2 linked regions of the Callithrix jacchus genome follow. The protein of the gene in region 2 interacts with the protein of the main gene of each other region in a pairwise test. Links are inferred from orthologs where the notes say so. Each region holds a gene or a part of one and is shown on either strand. Other genes may lie near its edges. The genes, in order: GMPPB and TXNDC5.

Region 1 (15,285 bases), on a different chromosome or scaffold from region 2:
GCCCCTGCTGGCATCTCTCCCCTACCAGTGAGTGCTCTGAGGCTCTCTTCAGGTGCCTGTGTCTGGGCATCTGCTGTCTTCTTGGGCACACCCCTGAATGACTGGGTGATCAAGCACTTTGTGAGGCTGAAGTGGGAGGATCACTTGAAGCTAGGAGTTCATGACCAGCCTGGGCAACCCATCTCTAAAAAGAAAAAATTAATTTAGCTGGGCATGGCTATGCATATCTATAATCGCAGCTACTCTGGAGGCTGAGGTGGGAACATCACATGAGCTCAGGAGTTCAGGTTATAGTGAGCTGTGATTGCATCACTGCGCTCCAGCCTTGACTCTACATGTGCCCGTAGTCATGTTCTCTCCTTTGTCTTAGCTCCTTCATATTCCCCTTTATCTCACCCCAGCACAGGCTCTTCCCCATCTCTGAAGTAGTCCCACTTGTGTCTCAGTCTGCCCCCATCTCAATCCAGCCCTCACATTTCCATCTCCCTTGGATTGGTGCCTTAACTCTGATGGAGCCATTGCCATCCCCTCATCAGACAGTCTTCCCTGGCTTTCTGTAGCAGCAGGATCGTCACTGCCCAGGTGTGTGCACAGACCCACCCCCGACCGCTTGCTTACATCTTCTCAGTTTCTCAGGTTTTAGGGCACATTAGAGAGCCAGTGTGAAGCCCAGGTGCACTGGCCGCACTCCAAAACACATGGGTGCTGTGGGTCTGGGCTGGGGCCTGAGGCCTCATTCTTACCTGGGCTCTGTGAGACCCTGACATGGACTCTGTGGAAACCACATTGTGGGGAGCAGGGCCCTCAGAAGGGTTTGTCTGTTTCCTGTGACCTCTGTTCCACCAGTCACACCACCCCCTGCCTTCCCACCACCTTCTCCTTTGCAATGCAGATCAAATTTTTGTCTGCCTGCTTACCACCACCAGCTCTTTGGGACCCCTACGTACCTTGTACTCCACTTGTCTGCTCCCCTCTGCCCTGCACCAGGCCTGCTGCTCCTCTAGTACTCCATGGAGAACCCACCACCCTCAGAAGCACGTACCCCCATTCTTGCTGCAACCTTTTCTTTGTCCCCACAGCCCATTAGGGCATACCCAATCTTGGCCCTCCAGTCCCTTTGTCTGCCATCTTGGACCTAGACAAGACTGTGGCTTCCTCACCTTCCTGTTCCAACCTGCCCTGCCTCCCCTTCTGTGTGGGGCAGCTTTCCAACACAGACTTCCAGACACAGCACCCTGTTGCCTCAAACTTGCTTACAGGCTGAGGCAGGTGGATCATCTGAGGTCAGGAGTTCAAGACCAGCCTGGCCAACATGGCAAAATCCCATCTCTGCTAGAAATACAAAAATTAGACACGTGTGGTGTCATATACCTGTAGTCCCAGCTACTTGGGAGGCTGAGGCAAGACAATCACTTGAACTTGGAAGGCAGAGGTTGCAATGAGCCAAGATAGTGTCACTGCACTGCAGCCTGGGCGATAGAGCAAGAGTCCATCTTATAAAAACAAAAGACTTGCTTACGCTATGCTGATCAGAGTTCTGGCCTGGGTCGCAATAATGCTCCCTCCAGGCTGAGTGCGTCTCTCTTGCCTGCCGAGGACTTGATTGCCCTGCTTAAGCCAGTGCTCATACATCCTGAGATCCAGGTCTCAGCTGTGCTGTCATAGGACAGGGAGGCCTTTCCTGATCCCCAGGCCAGGCCATGCCCCCAAGACCCCACTGGTGAGCAGCCCAGCAACACCTGTGTGCCTACTGCAGGAGAAGATGCTGGACATCTACTGGCTGCTGCGCGTCTGCCTGCGGACCATTGAGCACGGCGATCGCACGGGGTCTCTCTTCGCCTTCATGCCCGAGTTCTACCTGAGTGTGGCCATCAACAGCTACAGTGCTCTCAAGAATTACTTTGGCTCTGTGCACAGCATGGAGGAGCTCCCAGGTGATGGAACCATTCAGGCTGGGGCAGAAGCAGAAAAGGAGTCTCTAGTGTGAGCCCTAGGAGCCCTGGTCTGAGACCTCTGTGGCTCAGCAACATACATCCGTGTGGGGGAGGGGTGGGAAGAGGAGGTGGAGCTTCCTCTGTGGTTCACCCTGCAGCAAACAAAGGTTTGTACCCTGCCCTGGGACCCACAGCCACAGAGCCAGCAGCTCCTTGGTGAAGGAAAACAGAAAAGATGGAACACAGTGGGTGGATACCCCTTGGCTTTCACTTCCTAGTGCTGTGAGCAACTGCCATGGTCCCGCAGCCAGCTGGCCCTTCACCCTGACTCCCTGGCACTGGTCACTAAGTGTGGCAGTTGGTCAAGGGCAGAATGGTTTGTCTTGGTAAATCACAGCAGGGGGGTGGGGCCCTGCTAGGGTCCACATATGAACCTAGGCTTCTTGCAGCCTGCTGATTCCAGGCTAGGCATGGCAGTGTATGTCTAGATCAGGCTGTGAGCTGTCAGGACCCTGGCCTGACCCCTGCCCAGCCCCAGGCCTCGATGCAGGTTTTGTCTTCAAAGACAGAGCTATGAGTGCCCAGGGAGTTTTGACAGCTCATCAAGTGTGTGCTGAGGTGGGTTTGAGCCCAGGTTAGGGCTCCTGCCAGCACCTGTCCTCCCCTCACAGTGAGCCTGTGCCTTAGCACCTCCACAGCCACCAGTGAATGCCTTGCCCGATGTCCCCAGATGCTACGCTGGGTCCACGATGGCCTTGGGAGCCAGCTCTAGAGCCTGCTACTCCAGCCCACCCAACCTGCCAAGGGACACGCCTGTCCCTGGAGCTCTCATTCCAAGCCAAGACGTCTCACTTCCCACCCTTGCAGGCTATGAAGAGACCCTGACCCGCCTGGCTGCCATTCTTGCCAAACACTTTGCAGACACACGCATCGTGGGCACTGGTGAGGGGCCTACAGAGGGTACAGGGGGAGGAAAACGGGATTGCACCTCTGGTTGGCTTTTTTCTATGAAAAATGTGGCCAGGTGGGCATGAAGCATGGGGCCAGGGCTCATGCCAAGCCCCTACTGAGGCAAGGCCTGTCCCCACAGACATACGAGACTCGCTGATGCAGGCTCTGGCCAGCTACGTGTGCTACCCACACTCCCTGCGGGCTGTGGAGCGAATCCCTGAGGAGCAGTGAGTGGGGCCTGGAGGGGCACACACCCTGCCTTCGAGCACTGTGCTCAGCCTCACCCCATGTCTCTCCCCTCCCTGCCCTCATAGGCGTATTGCCATGGTAAGGAACCTCCTGGCTCCCTATGAACAGCGGCCCTGGGCCCAGACCAACTGGATCCTGGTGCGGCTCTGGAGGGTAAGCCTAACTCGAGGAGGTAGCTGAGGCTGGCTGGAGGGAGAGGGTGCCCTGTCCCATTGACCCCTGCACTGCCCCCCATACCCCCCACAGGGCTGTGGCTTTGGGTACCGCTATACACGGCTGCCACATCTGCTGAAAACCAAACTTGAGGACGCCAATTTGCCCAGCCTCCAGAGTGAGTATCTGGGTTAGGCGAGTCCCGGGCAAGGCAGTGGGGGGCCTTACCCATGGGTTCTCTCGGACTCTCCACTTCTTCCAGCCCCTCTCCTGTTCCCCTGCTGAGTCCCATATGCCCTACCTGTCCTCTAGGGTTTCCACTTACCCTGCTTCCTTTCAGCGCAAGGATGCTCGGGGTGGGACTCCTCCCCCTTGCCCACAGTCCTACATGTGCCCTTTAAGCCCTGACGCTCTGTGTGGGTCATGGTGAGAGGGGGCACTGTCTTATTAGCCTGCCGCAGCGCATGCAGACTGAATACTCTGTCCCTTGCCCTCTAAGCTAACTCCCTGACCTCCAGCCTTGTCCCAGCATCATGTCCTTCTGCCCCTTTTCCACTGTCTGCTGGTGCCAGATCCTGGCCTTGGCTTAGGCCCCGGACACCTGAGTCCAGTGGGAGCACCAATTGGAGGTTGGCTAGGTCTCCAGAGGGTATTCATGGGGCTTCCTGGAGGAAGGGACATTTAGTTGGGAGCAGAGGCTGTCCAGGTCTCCAGTGTCCAGCAATGTCTCATGAGCCTGAGGACCTTGCCCTAGGCTTGACCTTGCAGAGTGCCCGCCACATACTGTCCTCGCCCTTTTTGGTGGTGTTTCTTGGCTCACATAGTGTGTTTCTGCTCTTGTGGGCAGTGTTTTGGTCTGAAGGATGTCCCCAGAAAGGCTGAATGTCTTGTGCTAAGTCACACAGCAAGTCCTTGGTCCTGCTTCCAGGGAGGAACTGAGCTGCAAGTGGAGAGTGACAGTGCGGCCAGGTCCGTCCTGCTGCTGCGGGAACTATTGATTTGCATCAAGCTGGTGGGGAGGTGTGCCGGGCCAGTTGCAGCTGAGGGCTCTGGTTACTGCTGCCTGCCAGCCCAGACTTGGTGCCCACCGCCTCGGCCATATGCCAAGGCCAGGCCAAGGGCGGCAGAGGACAGTAGAGGACAGCAGGTTTGCAGCAGGGCTCAGAATAGGCTCTTGGAGGAGCTGACCTTGGTGCCAGTGGGGAAGTGTCTAAGCCACCCTGTCTAGATCTGACCCCATCTGAAGGGTGTGTGGCGCAGAACTTGCTGGAGGTCAGGCTCTGGCTGTGTGGCTGCTCTCGGCCTGGGGTGGGTAGTGCGGTGTGGGGGCTGGAAACAGCTGTAGCCTGGGGCTTGCCTAGTAAAAGGAGGGGATAGATTTTGTCCAAACTACAAGGCAGCTGTCCCCTCCCCGCTTTCATGACCTGAGCATTCCTAGGGAGCCATCTTTCTGCCCTTATACCAAAGGCCCAATGGGTGAGGATAGAGGCAAACAGGCAGAGGCCACTGCAGTGGAGTCCCTGATGCTGCTGCCTCCCTGTCCCCCTGCAGAGCCCTGCCCCTCCACCCTGCTGCAGCGGCACATGGCAGACCTCCTGCGGCAGGGTCCTGATGTGGCGCCCAGCTTCCTCAACAGTGTCCTGAACCAGCTCAACTGGGCCTTCTCTGAATTCATTGGCATGATCCAGGAGGTGGGCTGTGGTGGGGCCTTGTGGGTGGAGGTGGGCTGTGGTGGGGCCTTGTGGGTGGAGGTGGGCTGTGGTGGGGCCTTGTGGGTGGAGGTGGGCTGTGGTGGGGCCTTGTGGGTGGAGGTGGGCTGTGGTGGGGCCTTGTGGGTGGAGGTGGGCTGTGGTGGGGCCTTGTGGGTGGAGGTGGGCTGTGGTGGGGCCTTGTGGGTGGAGGTGGGCTGTGGTGGGGCCTTGTGGGTGGAGGTGGGCTGTGGTGGGGCCTTGTGGGTGGAGGTGGGCTGTGGTGGGGCCTTGTGGGTGGAGGTGGGCTGTGGTGGGGCCTTGTGGGTGGAGGTGGGCTGTGGTGGGGCCTTGTGATGGTGCAAGGAACAAGGCCTGGTCCTGGGCTAGAGCCAGGCACTGACTGCTGCATGCCGACCTGTTGGTGGCTCAGATCCAGCAGGCTGCTGAGCGCCTGGAGCGGAACTTTGTGGATAGCCGGCAGCTCAAGGTTTGTGCCACCTGCTTTGACCTCTCGGTCAGCCTGCTGCGTGTCTTGGAGATGACCATCACACTGGTGCCTGAGATATTTCTCGACTGGACCCGGCCTACCTCTGAGATGCTGCTGCGGCGTCTTGCACAGGTGTGGCCATCTGGGCAACAAGGGTGGGACCCTGGGGATGCCCCACTGGTGACATTCCCCATCCACCAACGGATACCTGCCCCCCCCACAGCTGCTAAACCAGGTGCTGAACCGGGTGACAGCTGAGAGGAACCTGTTTGATCGTGTGGTCACCCTACGGCTGCCTGGTGAGGACCTAGAAACCCTGCACCCCAACACACCACTTGGTTCCTCTGCTAGGAACAGTAATGCCTACATTCTGTCCCTAGACAGCCAGGCTCAGTGCCCTGCAGCCTCGGCTCACCCTTCTGTAGGGAGGGCAGTAGGCAGGACAGACGGTGTCAAGCCTGGAGCCCCTACAGTGGGAGTGTATGGGCGGCTCATCTTCCTTCCTTCCCTTCCCCTCAGGTCTAGAGAGCGTGGACCACTACCCCATTCTGGTGGCAGTGACGGGCATCCTGGTCCAGCTCCTGGTGCGTGGCCCAGCTTCAGAGTGAGTGTTGGGGACTGGGCCCTGCGGGGAGATGGGTGTGTCTGGTGAAGAGGGGCTGGACAGGGCCTCCTGTTACCTCTGTTTCCTAATCTGGAAAACAGACCTCAGTATCAGGTTTTGAGGCAGAGGGAAGGTGGTGAGGTGTGAACAGCCTAAACGGGGCAGAGGGAGCTCCTCTAAGTAGGAGAATCTGGAACCCCAGCAGGACAGGGTGTCCTGGCCCACAGAGCCACTGGCTTGTGGCCACCCCTCAGGCGCTGGGCATGAGAGGCAGGACTCTGGAGGGTGTGCCATCCTGTAGCGGACAGGGCTGGGCTGCTGGTTGGAGAGCTGAACACACAAGGACCGCCTTTGTCTGCGAAGGCTCCAGCAATAAGCAAGTGCTGCCTTTATTAAGAAACTCTGGAGCACTGGGGTCCAGGATGGCCATGAGGGCCCCCAGCTCAGCCCCCACACATGAGGAGCTCCCAGACCCCCTTCCCTGCTCCCCTGCAATGGGAGCAGTGAGAGGCATGTGAAGCCAGGGCACCGCCTCAGCCATTAGGCTGAGACCAGTGCCAGCCCTTAAGAGGCTCCTGCCCTGGAGGGACATGGAGTTCAGCTCGGCCCTCCCAGCTTGGCCATGCTCACCAGGCTTTTTGGGCATTTTACTGCTGAAAAGAAGGGGCGCAGGCCATGATCCACTTCACTGTGTCTTGTGAGCCCACAGAATGGGCTCTGCCTTCAGAACAACACCTGGAGAGAGCCGGGCCTCTGGCTGGGGCTTAGGCCAGGGCCCTCAGGAGTCTCTTAAGGAGCCTTTCCTGCCTAGTGCCTGCCCACCGGACTCTCCGTGCAGTTGCAAAGCTTTCAGGAAGTTGGGTGTTGGCAGATGCAGGGAGTCCCATTTCACCAGAGGGTGGGCTTGTTTTCTCCTGTCTTAGGGTGTGGGCGGGATCTTCCTTCAGAGCTGCCTCCTTTTCCCTGTGGGCCCACTCCCTCCCACCCCCTTGGGAAGGGGAGGTAGTCCTGCGTCAGCTCTTCAGCACCACTCAAGAGTTCTTTGGCCCCTGAGGGTGGATAGGGGGCTCTGCTACAGGGGTTCTTCCACACGGGCCTGGGTCTCTCAGCCTCACAGGGCATTTGGGCACTAGGAGATTCCTGGAGAAGCAGGCACTAGCACAGCTTGCAGGGCCTGGGGCCTTTGGGTCCTGTGCAGGGGCTGAGCAGAAGGCAGATTGGGGACTGGAACCTCTCTCTCTACTAGTGAGTGAAAAGGCCCATTGTGGTTTGAAGCCCACACAGGAAGCTGGGGGGGAAGGCACAGGGCTCCCCACCAGCATCTGCCAGTTCTCTGGACCAAAGTAGGGAGCAGGGCGAGCAGCAAGAGGGTGGGGGTTTGGTCGGGGCTCTGTGCAGTCTAGGTTGTAATGAAACCTTGGGAGCCTATGCAGCTAGCGGACTCAGAGCTAGCCTTCAGCTGCAGGCCCCTAGGGTTGCAGAGATCGAAGTCCTCAGCTACTGCCAGCTGCACTCGGCCATTGAGGTCCCTCCGGCCTGGCTCCAGAAAGACCACATGCTTGTGGACGCTGGCCTTGCGGCTGGGTGCGTCTGGTGGTGTGGTGCTGAGCACTGAGGACTGTGCGCTCAGCTCATGGAGTGGGCTGGGTGTTCCGGGCCAGTGGCGGCAACAGCAGGCACGGTGGCAGCAGCGGCAGGGTGGGGCAAACAGGTAGAGCAGCACGAGCACCAGGCCCACGGCACAGCCCAGCAGTGTGGTGAAGCTTGTGTTGAAAGTTTCGGGCTCTGGGCGTGGGAAGTGCACGCTCACGTTGTACTCGTGCGTCTGGTTGTGATGCAGGAGGGGCCCAGTGGCCAAGCACACGAAGAGTCCTGCATGCTGCTCCTGCACGTTACCTATGGCCAAGCTGCCGTCAGCCAACACCGCGATGCTGCCATCGCGGGATCCTGGCGCCCTGAGCAGCTCCTGCTGCGGGGAAACCCAGGCAATGCGCATGGCCGGGACGCTGGTGTTGCAGTAAAGCCTTAGGGACCGACCCACCAGCGCGTGCAGGTGCTCTTCCGGCCGTTCTAGGCCAAGAGCTGAGGCCGACGAGCAGTTCTCAAAGATGCGGCTGTGCTGGAAGAAGCGCACGCGGGACGCGGGTACCTTGAAGGCTAAGCATGTGTACTCGCGTGCAAAGTCGCGCACGGCCCTGAGGCCCCGCTGGTGCCAGTGCTGTAGCAGTTGGTAGAGGCGGCAGTCGCAGGGCAATGGGTTGTTGTGCAAGTAGAGGCCGTTCTTGAGGAAGGCTGGCAGCGCAGCCAGCTCAGTTATGGAGATGTGTCCCAGTCGGTTGGAGGAGAGGTCCAGAGTAAGCAGGTGGGTGGCGCTCAGACCGTGCAAGTGGTCGAAAGAGAAGGAGGCAAGTTCGTTGCAGCCCAGGTAGAGATGGTTGAGTGCTCTCAGGCCATGGAAGGCATGCTCGTCCAAGTGTACCAGGCGGTTATTGAACAGAAGCAGCTTCTCCAGCGCCCCCAGCCCATCGAGATCGTGGCGGCCAAGCGACCGCAACATGTTAGATGATAGATCGAGCAGTCTCAGACCACTGGCATTGGCAAAGACACCGCGACCCAGTGCATCTAGTTCGTTATGGCCTAGGTGCAGGGTGCGAAGCTGTAAGAGAGGCGCCAACCAGCCGGGTCTCAGGCGCTGGAGTGCATTGTGGCTTAGGTCGAGGTCCGCAGTAGCGGCAGGTAACGCGGCCGGCACGTCCTGCAGCCCTAGGCCAGTGCAGCTCAGCAGGTCAGCAGCGCAGACGCATTTGTAGGGGCAGTTGTGGGGCATACGGGGCGGGAAACCCTCGGAGTCTGGGGTGCCTGACCCAACGCGCAGCATGCAGAGCAGTGCTCCCAGCGGCACCAGCCAGGTCATGGCGGCGACCACCAGACACAAGACAGACCAGCTCTGTGCAGGTCGCAATTCCAGGACTCACCTACTTCTGCTTTAGTGTGACGTGGGTAGCACCGGATGGCCCTTGCCGAGGAGGCACGGTGCGGGTTCTGCCCTGCCCGGCCGGCTGAGAGCCCCTGTATTCCTGTTCCCAGGTCGTGAGACGGGGCCGGACTCCACTCCACGGTCCCTTCGGCTTCCCCAGCCCTCTCGGAGCGAGTTCCTGATCAGCCCCTAAATACTCCCCCTGGGGCGGGGCTCGGGCTCCTATTGGTTCCTGTTTCAGGAGGCGTGGCGGCGGTATCCTCTAGCGCCCAGGGGCCCCGCGTGACCGCCAGAGGGGGAGTGAGTCCAACCCCTAAGTCTCAGCCTGCCTTTGGCTAGCAGCTCTCTGCCGCTCCTTTGTTCTCGAGGAGTAAAAGGGAGAGTCTAGAAGAATGTCTCCAAGCTGCTGTTAGTGTTTATTTGAAGTGATTTTGAAGGACTGATATATTATGGGACAGGCGGACTCTTATCTGAGGGTGGCACCCCTGAGCCTTCTTAAAGTGATACCCAAGGCTGGGCATGGTGGCTCATGCCGGTAATCCCAGCACTTTGGGAGGCCGAGGTGGGTGGATCACCTGAGGTCAGAAGTTTAAGACCAGCCTAACCAACATGGAGAAACGCCATCTCTGCTAAAAATACAAAAATTAGCCAGGCATGGTAGTATGTGCCTGTAATCCCAGCTACTCGGAAGGTTGCGGCAGGAGAATCACTTAAACCCCGGAGGCAGAGGTTGCAGTGGGCTGAGATTGCACCATTGCACTCCAGCCCGGGTGACAGTGAGACTCCATCTCAAAAAAAAAAAAAAAAAAGTGGTATCCCAGATTGTGTGGCACTTTACTAGAATCCAGGACTTGGGGTTTCAGAAGCAAGATGGAAAGGATGTGGGGGTGGGGGACGATCATGCAAGAGCCATGGCACTCCTCATTGGCAATCCCCATAGAGACTTTCAGCCAGGCCCTTCTGACTGCCTTTGCACCCTCCCCTACCTAGGAGAGAACGAGCCACATCAGTGCTCCTGGCAGATCCCTGCTTCCAGCTCCGTTCAATATGCTATCTCCTGGGACAGCCAGACCCCCCAGCACCTGGCACTACCCTGCCAGCCCCTGACCGGAAGCACTTCTCCCTGCAGAGCTGTGAGTGGGCCAGTGGGGTGGGTCAGGGAGATCCAGGGCTGGATCAGGTCAGGAGCTTTAAGAACAGCAAAGTCTGACCAGGCATAATGGCTCACACCTGTATCCAACCACTTTGGGAGGCCAAAGTGGGCTGATCACAAGATCAGGAGATCAAGACCATCCTGGCCAACCCTGGATGGTAAAACCCGGTCTATACTAAAAATACAAAAATTAAGCCAGGCACAGTGGCTCATGCCTGTAATCCCAACACTTTGGGAAGCCAAAGTGGGTGGATCACGAGATCAGAAGTTTAAGACCAGCCTAACCAACATGGTGAAACTATCTCTACTAAAAATACAAAAATTAGCCAAGCATGGTAGTGTGCCTGTAATCCCAGCTACTCGGGAGGCTGATGCAGGAGAATCGTTTGAACCTGGGAAGTGGAGGTTGCAATGAGCTGAGATTGCCCCCCTGCACTGCAGCCTGGCGATATAGCAAGACTAGCTGAAAAAAAAAAAAAAAAAGCAAAGTTCTAGGCTGGAAATATTCAAGAGGCACCACATCCTCAGCCACCTCTGGCTTGACACTACCTACCACTCCCCAGATGCAGATTATATCAGTGCTGACGAGCTGGCCCAGGTGGAACAGATGCTGGCGCACCTGACCTCTGCATCTGCCCAGGCAGCAGCTGCCTCCCTGGTGAGTAGACCCACAGCACACAGGCCCAACCCACTTGAATATGTGTGCACTTCTATGTAGGCACAGCAGACATCCACATAGCTGGGCATCCAACTCCAGCCCACTCTTCACTTTCCTTCTTGCAGCCCACCAGTGAGGAGGACCTCTGCCCCATCTGCTATGCCCACCCCATCTCTGCTGTGTTCCAGCCCTGTGGCCACAAGTCCTGCAAGTAAGTGGGCCCCACAGCTTGGTGGTGGGGAAGAGCAGTATGTACATGCTATGCAGTCCTCATCCCCTCCCCTGTTGTAGAGCCTGCATCAACCAACACCTGATGAACAACAAGGACTGCTTCTTCTGCAAAGCCACCATCGTGTCTGTCGAGGACTGGGAGAAGGCAGCCAGTACAAGCACTACCTCCTCAGCTGCTTAGCCCTCAGCCTGCGCCATCCTGGAACCCCCATCCTTGAACCCAGAGCCAGGCTGGGCCCTATTTATGAGCTCCCTTTGCCCTCCTGTACCCACCACCACCACCACCACATCCAACCTCCGTGCCTGCCTGTTTCATTGGTGGGAACCCAACCATGGCTCTAATTGTGCCTGAGCTTGACTTTCAGTCAGGGCCACAGTGAGCATTAAATTATTATTCCATACAGCCCTGGCCCTGGCCCTTCTTGAGGGAGTGGGGTTTGCTGGATGTACCCAGCAGGGATCCTGCCAGATGATGTCCACATGAGAAGGCAGGTGTCCAACGGCTTCAACTTCATCCAATGCCCCTCAGACAAATTAAAAGTCCAGGATCTTCTGATGTGTCAGGCCAGCACTCCCCTTGCGGATGGGAAAACTGGGGCTCAGCTAGCCCTACTGTATCCCCTCACATGATGATGCGAGGCTCTGGCACTGACTCGCCAATAGACTTGTGGGGTAGCACGCTGGCTCCGTTGAGGTAGAGCTCGTCGTTAACTATGACGTCCTCACCCAGCACTGTCACATTCTCCATGCGAACCTCCAGGAGAAGATAGGCCCTGTCAGGGATGCAGGCACATTCCCCACCCCTCTTCTGCCCCTCTCCCCAAGTAGCCCAGCCCACAGGCTTACCCACTGGCCCACGCGGCAGCGCCAGCCCACAATGCAGGACTCAAGCCAGGAGTGGGAGCGGATACGGGCATCCCGCAGCACCGTGCACCGCCGGATACATACACCATCCTCTACCACCACACCAGGTCCGAGGCTTACGTTGGGGCCAATGCTGCAGTTCTGGCCGATGCGGGCACTTGGATCCTGAGAGTGGTGAGAGAAATACAAGTGAGCCACTTGTCTCCCAAGACTGAGGAGGTTAATAACGGGCTGGGCAAGGGCCTCACCACCAGCACGTTGCCCACAATGCCAGGGCCTGAGCACAGCCGCTCAGGCTGCTTCTGCCTCAGTGACTGCAGGAAGAGGCACATGCCAGTGAGGAAGTCCTTGGGCTGCCCAATGTCCATCCAGAAGCCTGTAGGGAGGGATGTATCAGGGGCCTCAGCCCAGCCACAGACCACCCCCACCCTGTGGCCTCCCTACCTCACCCTGCAACTCCATGGCATATAGCTGCCCCTCCTTGGCCATAACAGGGAAGACCTCCTTCTCAATGGACGTAGGCTGCAGCTGTGGGAGTGGGCAGCTTGTGAGCAGGGTCATGGCAGTGATGGCCTGCGCCACCCCAGCCCACCAACAGGTGTATTCTACACACCTGGATGCGCCGCAGCACCGCAGGGCTCAGGATGTACATGCCTGCATTGATCTTATTGGACACAAACACCTGCGGCTTCTCCACGAACCGGTGAATGCGGCCTGTGTCAGCCTCACACACCACAACACCGTACTTGGAGGGTTCCTCCACCTTGGTCACCTGAATGCAAGGAAGGGGACCTCGGACCTAGTCCAGTGTTCCTCAGCCTTGATATACATGCTGTCCCAGATCTCAGAAACTCTGCCCCAAGTGCTTAAAGATACATATTGCACAGCTCTGTACCCATAACATCGGAAGGCAAATGAAGGCTAGGGGAAGGGGAGGCTGGGCATGGAGGGCGGAAGTGTCAAGAGAAAAAAGACCTGGCGCCTTACCAAGATGGAGCCCTCCTGGCCATGGTGCCGGTGGAACTGCACCATGGCTTGGAAGGGGAAATCGCAGATCACGTCACTGTTGAGGACGAAGAAAGGGTCTGCAGTCTCGGAGAGTAGGTCACGGGCCAGGGCCAGGGGCCCAGCTGGGGGAAGGGGACAGGTCACCACCTTGCTGGAGGTCTGAGTCCCTGATTCAGGCTCAGCAGGCCAATCCAGGCTGGGTCTTACCCTTTTCCTGGCCTTAAACCCTCCCCAAGGGACTTTCCTGTCTCTACTGACCTGTCCCCAAAGGCTCTTCTTCATGGGACATGGAGATTCGGATTCCCAGCTAGAAGGAAGAGGCCCCCCCAAGTCAGGTTCTACCAGGATGGGAAGTTGGGCGGGGACTGAGGGTAAGGGCCAAGAGTCCCTGCCTCACCCTCTGCTCCTGTGCCTTCATTTCCTTCTCCAGCACCTGCGACATGTAGCTCACGGCCAGGATCACGTGGTCCACGCCTGCCTGTCAGAACGCAGGCCGACAGGCGGGCTCAGCCAGAAGATAGGGGAGCCCCTGACTCCTAGTCGCTGGCCATCCCTAGTCCCGCCGGATCCGAACGCGACTTCGATCCCAATTCAGGGTCTTACCGCGGCCAGCGCCTCCACTTGGTGCAGCAAGATGGGCTTATTGCAGAAGTCCACCAGTGGCTTCGGGGTGCTCAGTGTCAGCGGCCGTAGCCGCGTCCCATAGCCCCCCACTAATATCAGTGCCTTCATCGCGCCTGCGGGCGTTGGAAGGGTGTGCCGGGCCCTGAGGTGCCTGCAGCCCGCCTGGCCGGCCCCTGCCGCGCACTCCCAACGCCGTCCCGGTCCCGCGCCCTTCACCAGCCCGCCTTTCAGACTCTAGTTCCACCTCGTCCGCTCGATCGCCCTGACGCCGGATCCAGGGCCACCACAACCCGGAAGGCAACGCCAGATGGACCGCGGCTGGTCCCGAACTCAAGCCGGAGAGGCGCGGGCAGTGACGCAATCCCCTGGGCCAATCGGCTGCCGCATACGTGGCACGGCCGCTGGCGTCGGAGCGCTGGGGCGCGGCGCTGCGACAGACGTAGCCAATGAGCGCTCGAGCGTGCCAGGCTGTCATGGGGACCCGGGTCGGGACCCGCGGGTCAGCTAGCCATTGGCGGATCCAAAGGCGGAAATGGCGCCAAGGGCGAGGCCATGTTCCCTGCTTCGCGTGGTCCAGCGGCCGCCGGACTCGCCCTGCCCTAGGACCCGCCCATTGGCCTCGGCCCAGGGAAGTGAGACCAGGGAAAGTTCCCGGGCTGAGTGATTTTCACAAAGAGACAGACTCGCCTCCGCTTTAGCGGCTTTATTTTTGACATACACGACCTCAGACACAAGCGGGGCGGGTAGCGCTAGGTGTACAGAAAGGAGTGGGCTCGGCCCAAGCACCCCCTCCCGCACGCAAGGTCCAGAACAAACGCAGCTGCGGCGGCAGCCACGGGTAGTGTCCGGGCGCAGGCCTCGGGTGGTGGGAACAGACTTCGCTTCCGGGAAAGAGGAGCAGAGAGCGATTCCCAGAATGCGAGGGCTTACAGTTCCCCGAGAAGCAAAGAACCAAGTTCTTCCCAGGGTTCTCCATTTTTTTTTTCCTCTTTAAAATATTTTTCAAGTCAGCACAAACATAACCAAATTGTACAGCTTTAAAGTTCAAAGCAATATGCATCTAGGGAACGTGCATGTGGCCAGGAGTGAGCAGTGAGCAGCAGCTACGGAACTAGCACAGGCGCCAGGCCCTTGATGGGAATCCCCACGCCCATTGCACAGGCCCAGAGAGGGAGGGGGGTGGGATCCCTGGCAAGTTGCTACACTGGTCCCCTTACTCTTTTAAGCACCACCCGTCCCACCCCACCCTCAGGAACTGGTGTCAGCTTGGCTTGGCCCAGGGAAGCACTATAGAGGGTGTCACCTAAGCACCCCAACCCATGATCCACGTTGCACTTTGGTCCCAAGTTGAGGCTAAGAAGGCGGGGCCTGGCAGGGACAGAGCTGTCTGGCATGGGGTAGGCAGAAAGCAGTGGCAGACAGTATGCACACACACTTGCCCACTACCATTAAATAACAGGGCTGATCTCCAGGTGTCCAAAGTGCTGAAAGGAGGGGCCCTGCTCTAGGGGAGGAGCAGCAAACCACAGGCCTTTTCACTCTTTTTAATGCCAAGAAAATACTGATAATAAGTGGGTGCAGCTTTGCTCGCTGTGAGGAGCAGCAGAATGCCGCAGCCTCTCCTCCCAGAATCTAGGAACCTGGGAGGCACAGGACATCCCCTGAAGGTCACAAACAGCTCTAGACCCTATGTCTTACCCT
Region 2 (14,805 bases):
TGGTGGGGAAGACAACCACCACAGCCAGACAGTGGCACAGGGTGGTGGGGAAGACAACCACCACAGCCAGACAAGGCACAGGGTGGTGGGGAAGACAACCACCAGAGCCAGACAGTGGCACAGGGTGGTGGGGAAGACAACCACCAGAGCCAGACAGTGGCACAGGGTGGTGGGGAAAACAACCACCAGAGCCAGACAGTGGCGTGGCACAGGGTGGTGGGGAAGACAACCACCGCAGCCAGACAGTGGCACAGGGTGGTGGGGAAGACAACCACCGCAGCCAGACAGTGGCACAGGGTGGTGGGGAAGACAACCACCGCAGCCAGACAGAGTGGCACAGGGTGGTGGGGAAGACAACCACCGCAGGCAGACAGTGGCACAGGGTGGTGGGGAAGACAACCACCGCAGGCAGACAGTGGCACAGGGTGGTGGGGAAGACAACCACCGCAGCCAGACAGCGGTAACTGCTGAAGCTGAGGGCCGTCTTCTCCTGACTTTTGTGCACATTTCAGTATCTCCATACCAAAAAGTTTTTGTAAAAGTTCATCTTTACCTATAATATCAATGAGCTCTAAAAAAAAAAAAAAAAAGTAAAGTTGCTTTAAAATGGCAGCCTTAATCATTCACCTCAACTGGTCTCTGCCCCATTACATACAACCCCAAAGATGCAGACAGGAAGAGAGGGAGGCGCTCACCACTGGCTCCTCATTCAGCGTCTGTAGCATCCAGTTTTCCAGAGTCTGGAAGTCCCGAGGACCCTGGTACTTCACAGCTTCTTGGCCCGGCTTGAAAAACTTTAAGCTGAAAGCATAACAAAGGATTAGACAGAGCAAAAAGAGAGTTGTCTTATCAAAGAGCAAACTCATTTAGTAAAACCATCAGAAAATGAGCTGTCAAGAGGCTGCAGCCAGGCACATATCTGCTCCTCTCTGATAAAACTCTAAAAGGAAACAAAAATAACGTTCCAGGAGATAATACATTGTTAATCCTAAACTTTTAGAAGTTTCTGATTTTATTTAAGGAAAATAAAAATGAGGTGAGAACTTCCAGCCTAATGCTGTGACTGAAGCCCCAAGCTACAAGTATTCAGTGCTCCTCTGCAGCAGTCTCAGGCCTTCCCTGCAAGGTACTGTTATGTTTTCTCAGCTTCAGCAGTGGTTGTTGTGTACATGTTCAAATTAGGACTGTAACAGAGGCAGTGTTGTTTTGCAATAGCAGTATTCTTCCAGGCCACCCTGGCAGGTACTCAACTCGTGCAAAGCATGAATATCCAGTTACTGTGAGAATTCGTGTCCAACTGTAAGAGCGACCTTGACATTGACTAACACAGTCCATTCGTCTCCCCACAGAGAAGGAATCTTCTTTTTCCTACAAATCGTGGCCTCTGGAGGAACCTACAGAGAGGATACAGGAGCTGGCCCTTTAACCATAAGCAAAAGACAGCACCAGAGGATGAAATTAACACTCCCAGTTCCTGGATCACCCCATCAGTCATAGGAAAACGTGCTCTAGATAAAAATTCATAGAAGGTGTCAAGGACAGGGAAAAATGTGACTGCTAACAGAAGGTACTAACGGAGTACCATTTGTTGGCAAGCCTACTCATCTAAAACACCCCTGCCACTTCTACAGCACGTATGTGGATTTTGTGAGTAGATGCCCAATGTATAGTATCAGAATTATAAGATACCAATTTATGAAGAAATCAGACATGAAGGTTTGAATAGTGTCTTAGTTCAATGGTGGTAGCAGAAGACCACAGACTGGGTGGCTTAGAAACAACAGAACAGATTTCGCCTAGTTCTAGAGACCGGAAGTCTGAGATCGAGGTGCTGGCAGAGTCAGTGTCTGGTGAGGGTTTTCTGGTTCACAGATGGTGTCTTCTTGCTGTGTCCTCACATGGCAAAAGGGGCAAGCGAACTCTCTGGGGCCTCTTTGATAAGGTAGGTATCCCCATTCAGGAGGGCTCCACTCTAATGACCTACTCCCCTCTCAAAGGCCCCTCCTCCTAATGTCAGCATTGAGGATTAGGATTTCACCATATGAATTCTGGGGGACACAAACATTCAGTCCATAAAAAATGGCTAATTATCCTTAAAATGAAGTTACATGGCTAGAATAGGCTTTGAAATTCAAATGGGCATAATGGCCTTATGCAGAACCTAAGATCACCAGTGCCATAGGGCTTACATAAGGCCCCTAATGTGTCTCCAATACAGACTAGACACCCAGCTTCCTCAGCAGCTTAGATGCTCATAACCACCAACACCAAGCTTCACTAGATTCAGTCAGTACACCAGCTACTTCAGGAAGTTCAACATGATAAGCAAGGGCAAAGTCTGTGGTAACAAAGACGACTGCCCTCACCGAGCCCAGCACCTCCCGGGGCTCCCACCGGTGTGTTCTGCACCCAGAGAAACAGAAACTTCTTCCTGCATGGCTCTGCCTCCCACCCACCTCCTCCAAGTGCCTCTCCATCAGTGTGCTTCGGGAAGGAAAACGGGTGGATCCTCAGAATAGGAGACAGGACCAGGTACTGTCACATGCATTCCTCGTTTCTTTGCTAAAAGTAAAACACAGTAAGACCTAGCCTGTGATTTTTTGTGATTTGCTATTCATTTGAGCAAAACAAAAAACAAACAAACAAAAAACCCTCTTCTTGTTGGCCTGAAAATCTTTCTAACCTGCTCAAGTCTAAGATTATTCCTCAGTAAGTTCACGGAGCTCAGGGATAGAGTGGGCACGTCTGGTCCAGACCTTCCAGTTGGTTTGGGGAATCTGACTTCAATTCTCACTGTTGATGAGGTGAAGGAGGTGATGGAGACTGGGCCACAGGGTACGTGCCCAAAGTATCATCCCAGATTTCTGCCATTACCAAGCCTCCACATGGGCATTTGAGTCTCCTCTTTCAAGAGGACAGCAGGGAGAAAACTGCCATGTAGGCGTCACCTTGGCAAACAACATGCTGAAAGTTCTACTACTATAAAGAAGGTTATGAGTTGAACAGTGTCCTGTAAAACACATCTGTGTAAGTCATAACCATCAACCTTAGAAGGCTGACCTTATTTAGAATAAGGTCTTTACAGAGAGATATTCAAGTTAAAGTGAGGTCATCAGGATGGGCCTGAATCTAGCATGACTGGTGTCCTTGCAGGAAGGGTTAATTTGGAAGCAGCAACACACACACACACACACACACACACACACACACACAGAGAAGGCTACATGAGGACAGAGGATGGAAGTGATGCATCTATATACCAAAGAATGCCAAAGATGACCAGGAAGCCAACAGGAGCCAGAATGAGGCAGACGATTCCCCCACAGGTTTCAGAGGGAGCACAGCCCTGGTGGCTCCTTGATTTAGGACCTCTTACCTCCGAGACTGTGGACAATACATTTCTATTGTTTCTGGTCACCTGGTTTGTGAAACTTTGTTACAGCAGCCCAGGAAACTAACACAGGTGGTTTCCTCCTTCAGTCCTGCCCTGCTGTAACGATTCACAATGGCTCAATAGGAAGACCCTGAAACATTTTCCTGGACACAGCCAGCCATCTCTAGGGGGCATGAGAGCCCAAACTCCCTGCCCCTCCACCCCCTTACTCCAGTGACACTTGCCAGGGAAGAATGACATGAAAGCTGATGTCCTGACACACGCCTGGGCTCAGGCAGGTACAGTTATCGTCTGAGTCAGGCCTCACAACCACTTTGTGGGATGGGTGCTGTCTAGGAGAAGTAAAAGCTCACCCAAGTCAATCTCTAGATGCCCCAACGCGACCACATTTCATACAGCACATTCCACCTCCTGCATTCTCTAGGGGAAAATCATCTGTTCTCAGGAACTTCTGCAGGTCAGTGATGGGCACAGAGGTTCCTTCCCAAACTGTGTTCAGAGTGGTGTAGACTCATTTTTGTTCTTTTCAATAACACAAAACCAGCCCATGGTTTATTTGGGGAGATGAGATCTTCTCATTAAAAATCTAAATACATGATCCAACATGGGCCTTTTTAAGTCTGTGACTTTTTAAATGTGTGATGGTATTTGGTGAATATCATCTATGGAGTAGCTGATATTGCAGCCAATAGTCGTTACGGCCAGGCTGGGGCGGAACCCTTCACTTCCTTCTCTGAAGCCCCATAACACTTACCACTCTCAGCTCCCTCACAGGTCCTGTTGTCAAATTCCCCGTGACATGGTTTGTGGTGCACACTGCCTCAGGCCACAGATTAAGGTTAGCAGGTTAAGAGTGGAAAGACACCAGAGCCAGCCCACCCCTGCTGCCCCTGAACCTTGAAAGCTATAGGCTTTCAACAGGTAAGCATTCACCTCCTCGCCCTCATCTCTGCTCCCTGCCTGCTTCTTAGGACACGACTGATTCGTACTTTAAAGGCAATACTATGAAGCACAGAATACTGAATGCTTTTATGTAGATACAGACTGTAGGCAATTTTATCTCCACTGATCTGATTTAAAGTAGACCCAAATTATGGCACTTATATTAGCAAGCAGTCACCAAAGACCAAGAATTCCAGAGTCCTTTGAGGAAATGCCCACATTTCCAAATGGTAGGAAAAGCCTGACGTGTATTGGGCTTGCTCAGATTGGTGTCTGAACACATACCATGTAAGTCCCATAACAATGTCTGGGGGATCACCTTAGACGGTAAAGATGAGGCCAGAGCTATGTGCTAAGTAAATGGTAGAGCTGGGATTTGACTGTGACTTCTAGGTTCAAGCTTAGGGCTCCCTCCACTTTTCTGCCTCCCAGGTTTGAAGATAAGCTCCAATTTTATGCTTTATTGATGGCCCCTCTATTACTCAATTAAGCATTGAATTGTATAGAATTGACTTCATTCCTCAATTGAAACCAACAGCAAGGGAGTGACCATAGCGAACCCTCCAACTCCTTCAGAAACAGTGTCTTCTCTTTTTTCAAGAACTGCTTTTCCCTCCAATACTTGGCACATGGTATGAATGGGCATGTGTCTTGCTATAAGCTCCTGTTTCCCTTACCACAGTGACTATTCCTGGAACGAACACTCCAGCCAAGCAGGCCCAGTCAGTAGTGGGCTCTTCTGTGCAAACAGAGATACAGGCCTGGAAAGCCATCATCTCAAGGGAGACACAACAGAAACAGACCCCAGACCCCCCAGAGCTGGGTCTCAGAGGTTCCTTCACAGCCTTTTAAATAGTCATTTCTTTTTGTTTAATAAGAGAATGATTATATTTCTAGAACTGAGAACATTTCAATTTATATTTCTTATAACCAGAAAAAATTCTTAACTGTCAAGGAATTAAGTATCATCGACTGTCAGACTCTATACTTCTTTCCAACAGAACAGCCCTTGCGGGAGTCACACGGGAAGTGACTATAGGAAGGGTGTTTGAGAATAAAAGTCACCGAAAAAAGCAAGCCAGAATTGATGATAGTCTATGCACACTGTGTAAAATGTACCAGGGAACATCCAGCATGGTGGGAATCTCAGGGAGACCACCATTTTTGTCTTGCAAACGCATTCTCTTATAAATGTACCGGTGAACATTTTAAACCCAACACTGATGAATTAAAGGTTTTCCAAAGTACAAAAGGCATCTAAAATAGACACAGCACTAAATGCAATTTCTCCCTAATCACAGGGACTGCCTGCTTAAATTTAGTATCTCTTCACTCCTTAAAACTACAAAGGAAGTTACCAAAAGTTTAACTACGACTCTCGTAGCCAGGAACCATCTGGGAAGGGTGCCCCTTCCTTCCGACTCACGTAGGGTATCCTCGCACCCCCTGGGCGGAGCACACGTCAGAGTCGGCCGTGCAGTCCACTTTAGCCACGTAGACTTTGGCATCTTCCATGCTGTTGTATTTGTCTCCCAGGTCATTCCAAGTTGGCTGCAGCCGCTGGCAGTGTCCACACCTGAAACAAGCAAGAGTACAAGCACACTGAGTGCCAGGTCACAGGGTGGCCAGCCTGCACCTTCAGCCCTGTTGAGGGGGCAATGGGACTCTCAGCCCTTTCTTTATGTCATGGCAGATGGCAACTCCTGGACCAGTACTCCAGGACCTCCCTTTCTGCTCCCGCCCCTCCAGAGTCACCGTCTTGTTCTCAGCATTAAATCTCAGCATCGTCTCAACATTAAACTTAGCAAAGTGTTGTTCTGGACCTACATGTTCTGGCCCTGTGACCTCCCACTTGACTTCCTCGCCTTGCAGCCTACTCCTGAGCCCTATGCAGCACCTGCAGTGTTCCCAAAGGGCCATAGCTTGGCTTGGCCCTGGGACCTGAGACACATTCTCTCCTACACTTCCTCCCAAAACTCCAGCTAATTCTGTCTGCCCTTCAGGTTTAGTTTGGGTGCTGCTTCCTCCAGCAAGTCTGCCCTGACTCCCCAGGATGTTCAGTGCCAGTCTCTTTTCCTGCCCTTCTGGAAAGCTCCTCTACGCCTCCTGTGGGCAGTAGCTTAGCACTTCTTGCTGTATCTGCTACTTTTATCAGTCAAGTCTCCTCCAGTATGTAACCAAATAGCCACAAATATAAGGCAATCCCAAAATTTAATCAACTGCAATTTTCTCCAATGAGAAGGAAAAAAAAGTTTGTGGCCATCTAAACTTCTAGCGTTGAAGCCAGCAAATGTCTGTTTAGAGTATTCATTGTATGAATTCAGTTATGTACACATATTTTTAAATCGCCTATCATTTGAAATAGGATATTAATTAGGTTTCTTGCCACGCTTCACATTTCATGAGGGTATCAGCACCTTTCCCAACACTACATCTTCTTGAGTCATACAGCTGATCACGACTCTCACTACGTTCTCAGGATGGTAGGTCTACAGTGCTGTATTCCAATTCTGAATGAGACAGCCCTAGAAACTTTATCCCAAGTTTCAACTACAATCCCATAGCATGACGACACATGGGCTTGTTTCTTTTTTAATATGGTAGGTACACACTGATGCCTACAATGCAACCACTTTGCTGTGTTGCTTTTTAAAATGTTTTTTAAAAAAACACTTGCTTGTAAGAACACCAACACTTAGAATTGTGACCGCTTCCCCAAAATAATTTCTTAAAAATCTTTTTCTGGAGAACGATCCAAGATGGCCGATCGCTAACATCCCGGGATTGCAGCTCTCAGGGAAGGCGCGGAGAACTAGAGGACACCACACTTTCAGACAAATTCTGGTCGCTCACGGAGCAGAAGATCCCCCAGTGGAGGAAACACACAGGTGGCCAGCGCGACTCTCGTGGCCGGCGCAGCGGTTCCGCCGGCACCTCGGCACAGCAGCTCTCGGAGCAGAGTAAACAGGTTCGGAGGACCCGCACGGGTCCCCAGCAGGACACCAGAGCCTGGCGCAGCGGCTGTGATGGCACCTAGGCACAGCAGCGCTCAGCGCAGAGTAAACGGGACCGGTTCCCCTTCTGACCGAGGTTTGGAGCCCCGGGAAGGCAGAGTCGCCTACTACGGACACAAGAAGGAAGCCAGACAGGAGAATCCTGGGCAGAAAAGCACCATCAGTTTTAACGCCGCTGCTCTGGCCCTGGGAACTAAAAACCTGGACATCCACTCAAGAGACCTAATCTGGAAGTTGGTAATTTCAAAGAAGACAGGAGGATAAATTTACAATGACGGGAAGAAATCGGCGTAAAAAAGCTGAGAATACTCAAAGTCAGAACACCTCTCCCTCTAAAGATGATCACAGTTCCACATCAACAATGGAACAAGGCTTGATGGAGAAAGAGCGCATCCTGATGACAGAATCACTCTTCAAGGAATGGATAATAACAAACTTTGGTGAGTTAAAAGAACATGTTGTAGCCCAACGTAAAGAAACTAGGAACTTTGAAAAAAGGTTTGATGAAATCCTATTGAGAATAGACAACTTAGAGAGGAGTATGAGTGAAATAATGGAACTGAAGAATACAATACAGGAACTCCGAGAAGTATGCACAGGTTTAAACACTCGAATTGTTCAAGCAGAAGAAGGGATATCAGGGGTCAAAGTCCAACTTAATGAAATAAAACATGAAGAAAAGATTAGAGAAAAAAGGATAAAAAGGAATGAGCAAAGTCTCCAAGAAATGTGGGACTATGTGAAAAGACCAAATTTACGTTTGATAGGTGTACCTGAATGCGACGGAGAGAATGAATCCAAGCTGGAAATTACCCTTCGGGATATTATTCAGGAAAATTTTCCTAAACTAGCAAAGTAGGTCAACATTCAACCCCAGGTAATACAGAGAACACCACAAAGATATTCCTCAAGAAGAGCAACCCCAAGGCACATAATCGTTAGATTCACCAGCGTTGAAACGAAGGAGAAAATACTAAGGGCAGCCAGAGAGAAAGGTCAGGTTACCCACAAAGACAAGCCTATCAGACTTACAGCAGATCTCTCAGCAGAAACTCTACAAGCCAGAAGAGAGTGGGGGCCAATATTCAACATCCTCAAAGAACAGAACCTTCAGCCCAGAATTTCATATCCAGCCAAACTAAGCTTCACAACTGAAGGAAAAATAAAATCTTTTATGAACAAGCAAGAACTCAGAGATTTTATTAACACCAGGCCTGCTTTACAAGAGCTTCTGAAAGAAGCATTACACACAGAAAGAAACAACCAGTATTAGCCTTTCTAAAAATACACCAAAAAGTAAAGAGCACCAACATAAAGAAGAATTTACACCAACGAATGGATAAAACAGCCGGTCAACATCAAATGGCAGTAACCCTAAATTTAAATTGACTAAATCCCCCAATCAAAAGACACAGCCAAAACCCAATGGCATGTTACATCCAGACCTGTTTCACATGCAGGGATACACAAAGACTCAAAACAAAGGGATGGAGAAAGATTTACCAACCAAATGGAGAGCAAAAATAAATAATAAATAAATAAAAAGCAGGAGTTGCAATTCTCATATCGGATAAAATAGATTTTAAAGCAACAAAGATATAGTGGTAAAAGGATCAATGCAACAACAAGAGCTAACGATCCTAACACCCAGATACGAGACTTAGATTCAATGAGACAGAAAATTAATAAGGATATCAAGGACTCGAACTCAGATCCGGAACAAGTAAACTTAATTAATATTTATAGAGCTCTCCACTTCAAATACACAAAATATACATTCTTGTCAATACCACATCACACCTACCCATAAGTTTAAATGAAACATTGATTGGCCATTATTAATACCCAATTTTTTTCAAAATAAAGCAATATTTCCATTTACTCTCCCTCTTTCTTCCTCTCCTTCACTTTTTTTTTTCTTTCCTTCTCTCAAAAAAAAAAGAAATCAACTTGTAAACCTCTAGATCCAGGTCGGCAATGTCTCTCTCATTGCTTGATTTCCTTCCTTCCCTTCCCTTCCCTTCCCTTCCCTTCCCTCCCTCCCTCCCTCCCTCCCTCCCCGCTTCCTCCCTTCCTGCCTTCCTCCCCCCCCAAAAAAAATAAAAATAAAAAAAATCTCTTTTTCTTTTCTGACAGATTACCTCAAAAACAAGCATTTAAGTCGGGTGCAGTGGCTCATACCTGTAATCCTAGCACTTTGGGAGGCTGAGGCGGAAAGCTGCTTGAACTCGGGAGTTCAAGACTGCCTAGGCAACACAGCGAGACCCCATCTATAAAACATTTTTAAAAACTAGCCTGGTGTGGTGGCACACACCTGCAGTTCTAGCTACTTGGGAGACTGAGGCAGAAGGATCACTTGAGGCCAGGAGTTTGAGGCTGCAGTGAGCCATGATCACATCCCCCCGCAGTTCAGCCTGGGTGACAGAGTGAGATTTTGCCTCATAAGAAGAAGAAAAGATTTAAAGGTAGCACTGAAAAAGTCTGCTTCAAGCTAATGTATCTTCCCTTAACAGCATTTTCTTTTTTTTCTTTTTTTGAGATGGAGTTTCGCTCGTTACCCAGGCTGGAATGCAATGGCGTGATCTCGGCTCACTGCAACCTCTGCCTCCTGGGTTCAGGCAATTCTCCTGCCTCAGCCTCCTGAGTAGCTGGTATTACAGGCACGCGCCACCGTGCCCAGCTAATTTTTTGTATTTTTAGTAGAGACGGGGTTTCACCAGGTTGACCAGGATGGTCTCGATCTGTTGACCTCATGATCCACCCGCCTCGGCCTCCCAAAGTGCTGGGATTACAGGAGTGAGCCACCGCGCCCGGCTTTAAACAGCATTTTCTTGGCCAACTAAGAAAATCCCTACTTTATGAGATATTCAGATACCAAAAAAAAAAAAAAAAAAAAAAAAAAAATAGTGAAACCATACATGCAATTTAACTCCTATAGATTCAACACAGTGAGTTTGACAAAAGGTGTGTGTGTGAGAAGGAAACGAGGAAAAAAAAAGACAATTCCCACAGAACCCTGAAGTGGGTGCAAGCCGGGAGATGTGAGGGTTTTGTTCCTCAACTGGCTTGGTTGCTGCATGCTTCTCATGGCATGAGCATCTACAGCTCTACGCGACTACAGTGTGACCCCGCTACCTAAAGACACAGGTTTGAGAACTAGTCCATTTGGTATTCAAGCAAAGAAGCCATGACAGTTCTAATGCTGGCGGAAATGCTGGCAGTGAGGACTTACTGACTGGGGTCGTGTCCAACAAGGCACCTTCCGAAGGGACTGTCAAGGGCAGTTCTGACCCTGGGGGGCTTTGATCAGAGATGCTCATTCTGGAACTTTAGAACTTCTCTGCAATCTTGACGAGGTTTTGTTTTGCTTCTGTTGTTTTATTGTGAAAACACAAGACTAGATTAAGAATGAGAATAAACAATAAATAAGTTTGTTGTGCACTAAGTCAAAACTGACCATCCTGGGCCATCACCAAGCTGGGCATGCCCTTGCCCCTGGCTGTGATGGGGCTACAGGTGCTATCTAGTCCGCACAAAACCCGGCTCTGAGACCGCCAGCTGCATTTACAAGGTAGCCTGTGGCCAAGAACTAGAGCAAAGCTACCTGGTCCAAATCTTGACCTCACTGTCACCAGGTCTAGGGTGACTCACAAACTGGCCATACAGAAGCTGTCATCTGATGTTGGCACAAAATCTACAGCAGTAGGACAACACTGCAGCTGCCAAGTTCCAGGCAAAAATACACAGATCAATGTTTTTGTTACAGGGGCCCCAGCCCTCTTATCACAAATGGGCTTTCACCATTCCACGGCAACTGAAACTGGAAAAAGGTATGTGTGTGTTGAGGGGGAGTCCACTGAGTGTTCTGAGCTCCAAATGCTCAGCTCACTACTCCAGCACGTGCCTACCTCTCCTGCACAGACCCCTCCAGAGATACCACCTTGTTCTCAGCATTACACTCACCAAGGTGTTGTTCCAGCTATTGTGGGTCCTACTGGGTCTTGCCCCTGCTGACCCCCCATCTGACCTGTCCGCCCCCTCAGCCTCCTTTCCTCACAGCCGACTCCTGAGCCTTACTGCAGTATCTCCAGTTTCTGAAAGGTCCCTCTTAGAAGTCCAACTTAAACACCACCATAGAAACCCACATACCTCTGTTTAAATATTTGTAGTAGACTATAAAGAAGCCAACAAATAAAAACATAAAGTTACTTTTTCTGGGAGCATCCACCTAAGTATCTAATGCCACATACAATGAAAAAGGAATTTACTTAATACCAAGTGCCCAGACGTGCCAGTTCTCTCTCTCACTCAGCCCAGGACTGGCTGGTATTTATTGCAGAGTTTCTAAAATTAAAATCCCTTTGGCTGCAGGAACTTATTACATCTACATGTCAGTTTTTCTTTTAAAAAAGTAAAGAACAGGCTGCGGTGGCTCATGCCTGTAATCTCAGCACTTTAGAAGGCCAAGGCAGAAGAACTGATTGAAGCCAGGAGTCTGAGACCAGCCTGGGCAATATAGCGAGACCCTGTTTCTATCAACTACAACAACAAAAATAAGCTGGGGGTGGTGACCTGTGCCTTAGGCACAGCTACTCCAGAGGCTGAGGCAGGAGGATCACTTGAGCCCAGACTTAGAGGCTACACTCAGCTGCAATTGCAGCTGTGTTTCAGGGTAGGTAACAGAGCAAGATCACAGCTCTCAAACAAATAATGAAGAAAGAAAAAACCCATGGACAGAACTATTCCACTTAAATGGGTTCCAACTAAGTAGTATATTTCATTGAAATCGTTGCTCTGAGAATACTCCTGTATAGAGAGAAAATTATTAATACTGCCTGACTGTTTTACGTTACAAAGTAATTTCAACACCATTGGTAGTTCTAAAAATTCTAATCTAGGAATCTGAAAGATAATGTACTTCATACAGTTAATAAACCCACACTGGCCCAAAAAGTTGATTTGACTCCAAATGGACTGAAACACAGTAACAGCCTGAATACGGGGGTGAAGAGAAAAACGATTCTCCTAGTTTGAAAGATACAATTTCTGAACTGACCATTTTTCTTAGGGTACCTTTTCTCTATTCTTTCCTACATCCCTTTCCCAAAAGAGCCTCTGCTGAGCTCTGGGGAAGTATACCAAGTTCTACAACAAGCACCTGCAGGCCATTCCTGCCTCTCAAAGGTCTTAGGTCCTAAAATTACAGCTTTCTGCCCTGGCCCGTAATCACTTCCCTCCCAAGGAGCATCCCGGCGCTGGCAGGAAAAGCAGTGCACGCGCTTGTGTGAATGACAGGAAGCTCTTCCGTGGGGCGAGTCCCAGGGTAGGGGTCTCTCAGGTCAGCAGTGAGGCCCACACCAAACCCTGCCCAGAGAACCAAAGCAGGAAGAACCATCTGCTCAACGGAGGGGCTTTTCCGATCTCACATGTGACCTGGCCCCGAGAGAGCAGGGGGAGGTGAAAGGACACTCTGGAGTTGAGAACCAGTGGGCTCCGGTCACAGAGCAGAGAGCACGTCTACCCTGGGCTGCGGGGGGTCCCAGAATTCGCACTGCTCTGGTCTTCCCGGAGTAGCTCGGCAACCCTCCTCTGCCTGGACCACTCCTTCCTATCCCGCAAAACACGCACAAAGTGGGAAAACACACCTTCCTGAGTTCTGTTTTTCGATTAAAGCCTCTGGAAGGGGACATGCCCGCCGTCTCAGTGTCCCAGCCGACCCCGGTGGCCGCGGCAGCAGCAAGGCCGCTCCGGCGAGTGCACGTGGCCCACGGACAGGCCGCGCGTCTGGCCGGCACAGGAAGTTTGGGGCGCAGGGCAGGGACCGCGGGGTGACATTTGGACTCCCGGCTCCCCGAAAGGACGACGGCCCCCCCACATTCCCCTCCCTCGGTGCCGAGGTGCAAGAGGTGGTTGAGTTCAGGAGCGCGGCGTGGGGCGGGCTTTTCCCGGCTGTCCCCTCGGGGACCGCCCCCTCCTCCAGCACAGCCCGGCAGCCGAGCGCCACGTCAGCCGCGAGCGCCCGGTCGGCTGCGCCCACGCCTCCCGGCCCGGAACCTCGAGCCCTCGGTCCCCTGCAGTCCCAGGCTCCCGGCCCCCACCCGCGGCGCCCGCGCCCCACACCCCCCAGCTGGGGCCCCGAGGCCGCAGGGTCCCCGCGCCCGCAGCACGCATGCCCCTGGCCGGAGCCGTAGGCATCCACGTGGCCCCCGGCCCGGGACCCCCAGCCCGCGGCGCCCACGCGCCCCAAAGCGCCGAGTGCGGGGCAGGGCGCCGGCCTGCGCGTCGTTACCAGGGCGCGAAGAACATGACGAAGTGCGCGGCGCTCTGGATCCCGTGCGTGAACATGTCGGCCGTGTACAGGTGCTTGCTGTGCGGGTCTTGCCCGTCCCCTCCGTCCGCCGCGGGAGGGCCGTCCGCCGCCGCCGCCGCCTCCTGGGCCCGGGCTCTCCAACGCCCGCCGCCGCCATGGCCCAGCAGCAGCAGCAGCAGCGCGGTCAGGGCCGACGGCCGGGCCAGCGGCGGGAGGAGGCGTCCTGGGCGCGCTGGCATCGCTGCTGGGCTGGGCGCGCTCTCGCCGCGGCCGCCGGTCCTTTCGCAGCGCCCGCCCCGCGCCCCGCCCCGGAGAGGCCGCGCCCCTTCCTCTCCACGCCAGCTTGTCCGCGCCGGCGCGCGCCCGCTACACGCCCGCAGCCCGCATCCGCGCGCCGGCGGGGAAGGGCGGGCGCGAGGGGCCGAGTCCGGGAGAGCTCTGAGTCCCGCCCCCTGCGCTTCCCGCGACCGGACCGCTCGCCCTCATCCCGGAGGACTCCTGCGCCTCCGCAACCCAGGCCCTCACCCTGTTCCCCAAAGGGCCCGCTGAGCTCTGAGCGACGGCGAACACACGAAGGAACGATGAGGCCAGCGGGAAGCCACGGAGGGGCCGGTCAGCCTCAGCTAATCTCAGCTCACACAAGCACCCCGGGACTTCAGGCCAAAGGAAGGAAACAGCTGCTGTCAGCAGAATGTAGGAAATCCGGCAAAAGACGGTGCGGTTTGCACCTGAATGAGTCAGATTCTTGGCCAGAGCTCGGCTGTGATTCTAGACCTAAGGTGAACCCCTTGCTGGTTACCCCTGCCCTGCACGAATGAATGAAGAGGAAAGAACGTCAAAGTGGCCTCTTCTAGACAAGAAGGCTCTAGCAGGACTGGCTGAGGTCCTACCGTGCCCTAATTTATCCCCGTTACTAAAACGAATGACAGCGTGCCTGCTATGGCTGAACTCAGCCTTGTGGAATGGCCGGAAGGCATCCCCGCCCGGCACCTCATAACTCGCACCTGCACCCACACCTTATAGCAGATGGTAATAGAAAGTTCCAGCCCTACCCCGGGGATCTGAGGCTAAATTAGGGAGAATCACCTGGTTGCTTTCCAGGATCCTGCCTGCTCTTTGATTATTCTTAATCCAGGAAGCCCCAG

What was found.
Region 1: the proteins of TXNDC5 (region 2) and GMPPB interact in a two-hybrid assay, tested with the Homo sapiens proteins (2 studies listed by BioGRID and IntAct). The two-hybrid records come from large-scale screens. The link is inferred for Callithrix jacchus from reciprocal best matches to the Homo sapiens genes TXNDC5 and GMPPB.

What each region holds. Positions count from the first base shown.
Region 1 is NC_133516.1:32,328,119-32,343,403, forward strand, and holds GMPPB (mannose-1-phosphate guanylyltransferase catalytic subunit beta), read right to left. Parts: upstream 13,917-15,285; 5' UTR 13,693-13,916; coding exon 13,564-13,692; intron 13,439-13,563; coding exon 13,358-13,438; intron 13,268-13,357; coding exon 13,219-13,267; intron 13,083-13,218; coding exon 12,940-13,082; intron 12,725-12,939; coding exon 12,566-12,724; intron 12,481-12,565; coding exon 12,402-12,480; intron 12,329-12,401; coding exon 12,201-12,328; intron 12,118-12,200; coding exon 11,935-12,117; intron 11,843-11,934; coding exon 11,711-11,842; 3' UTR 11,270-11,710; coding exon of another isoform or gene 11,149-11,269; 3' UTR 11,069-11,148; coding exon of another isoform or gene 10,983-11,068; 3' UTR 10,858-10,982; coding exon of another isoform or gene 10,763-10,857; 3' UTR 10,180-10,762; coding exon of another isoform or gene 10,037-10,179; 3' UTR 9,444-10,036; downstream 1-9,443. Other genes in the region: E3 ubiquitin-protein ligase RNF123, read left to right, coding at 1,757-1,934, 2,802-2,876, 3,025-3,112, 3,200-3,287, 3,381-3,465, 4,839-4,978, 5,409-5,597, 5,689-5,764 and 5 more; AMIGO3 (amphoterin-induced protein 3), read right to left, coding at 7,469-8,983. UniProt on the Homo sapiens protein: Catalytic subunit of the GMPPA-GMPPB mannose-1-phosphate guanylyltransferase complex. Catalyzes the formation of GDP-mannose, an essential precursor of glycan moieties of glycoproteins and glycolipids. Can catalyze the reverse reaction in vitro.
Region 2 is NC_133505.1:22,396,357-22,411,161, reverse strand, and holds the start of TXNDC5 (thioredoxin domain-containing protein 5), read right to left. Parts: upstream 13,924-14,805; 5' UTR 13,900-13,923; coding exon 13,640-13,899; intron 13,298-13,639; exon of another isoform or gene 12,996-13,297; intron 5,913-12,995; coding exon 5,763-5,912; intron 802-5,762; coding exon 696-801; intron 1-695. UniProt on the Homo sapiens protein: Protein disulfide isomerase of the endoplasmic reticulum lumen involved in the formation of disulfide bonds in proteins. Can reduce insulin disulfide bonds.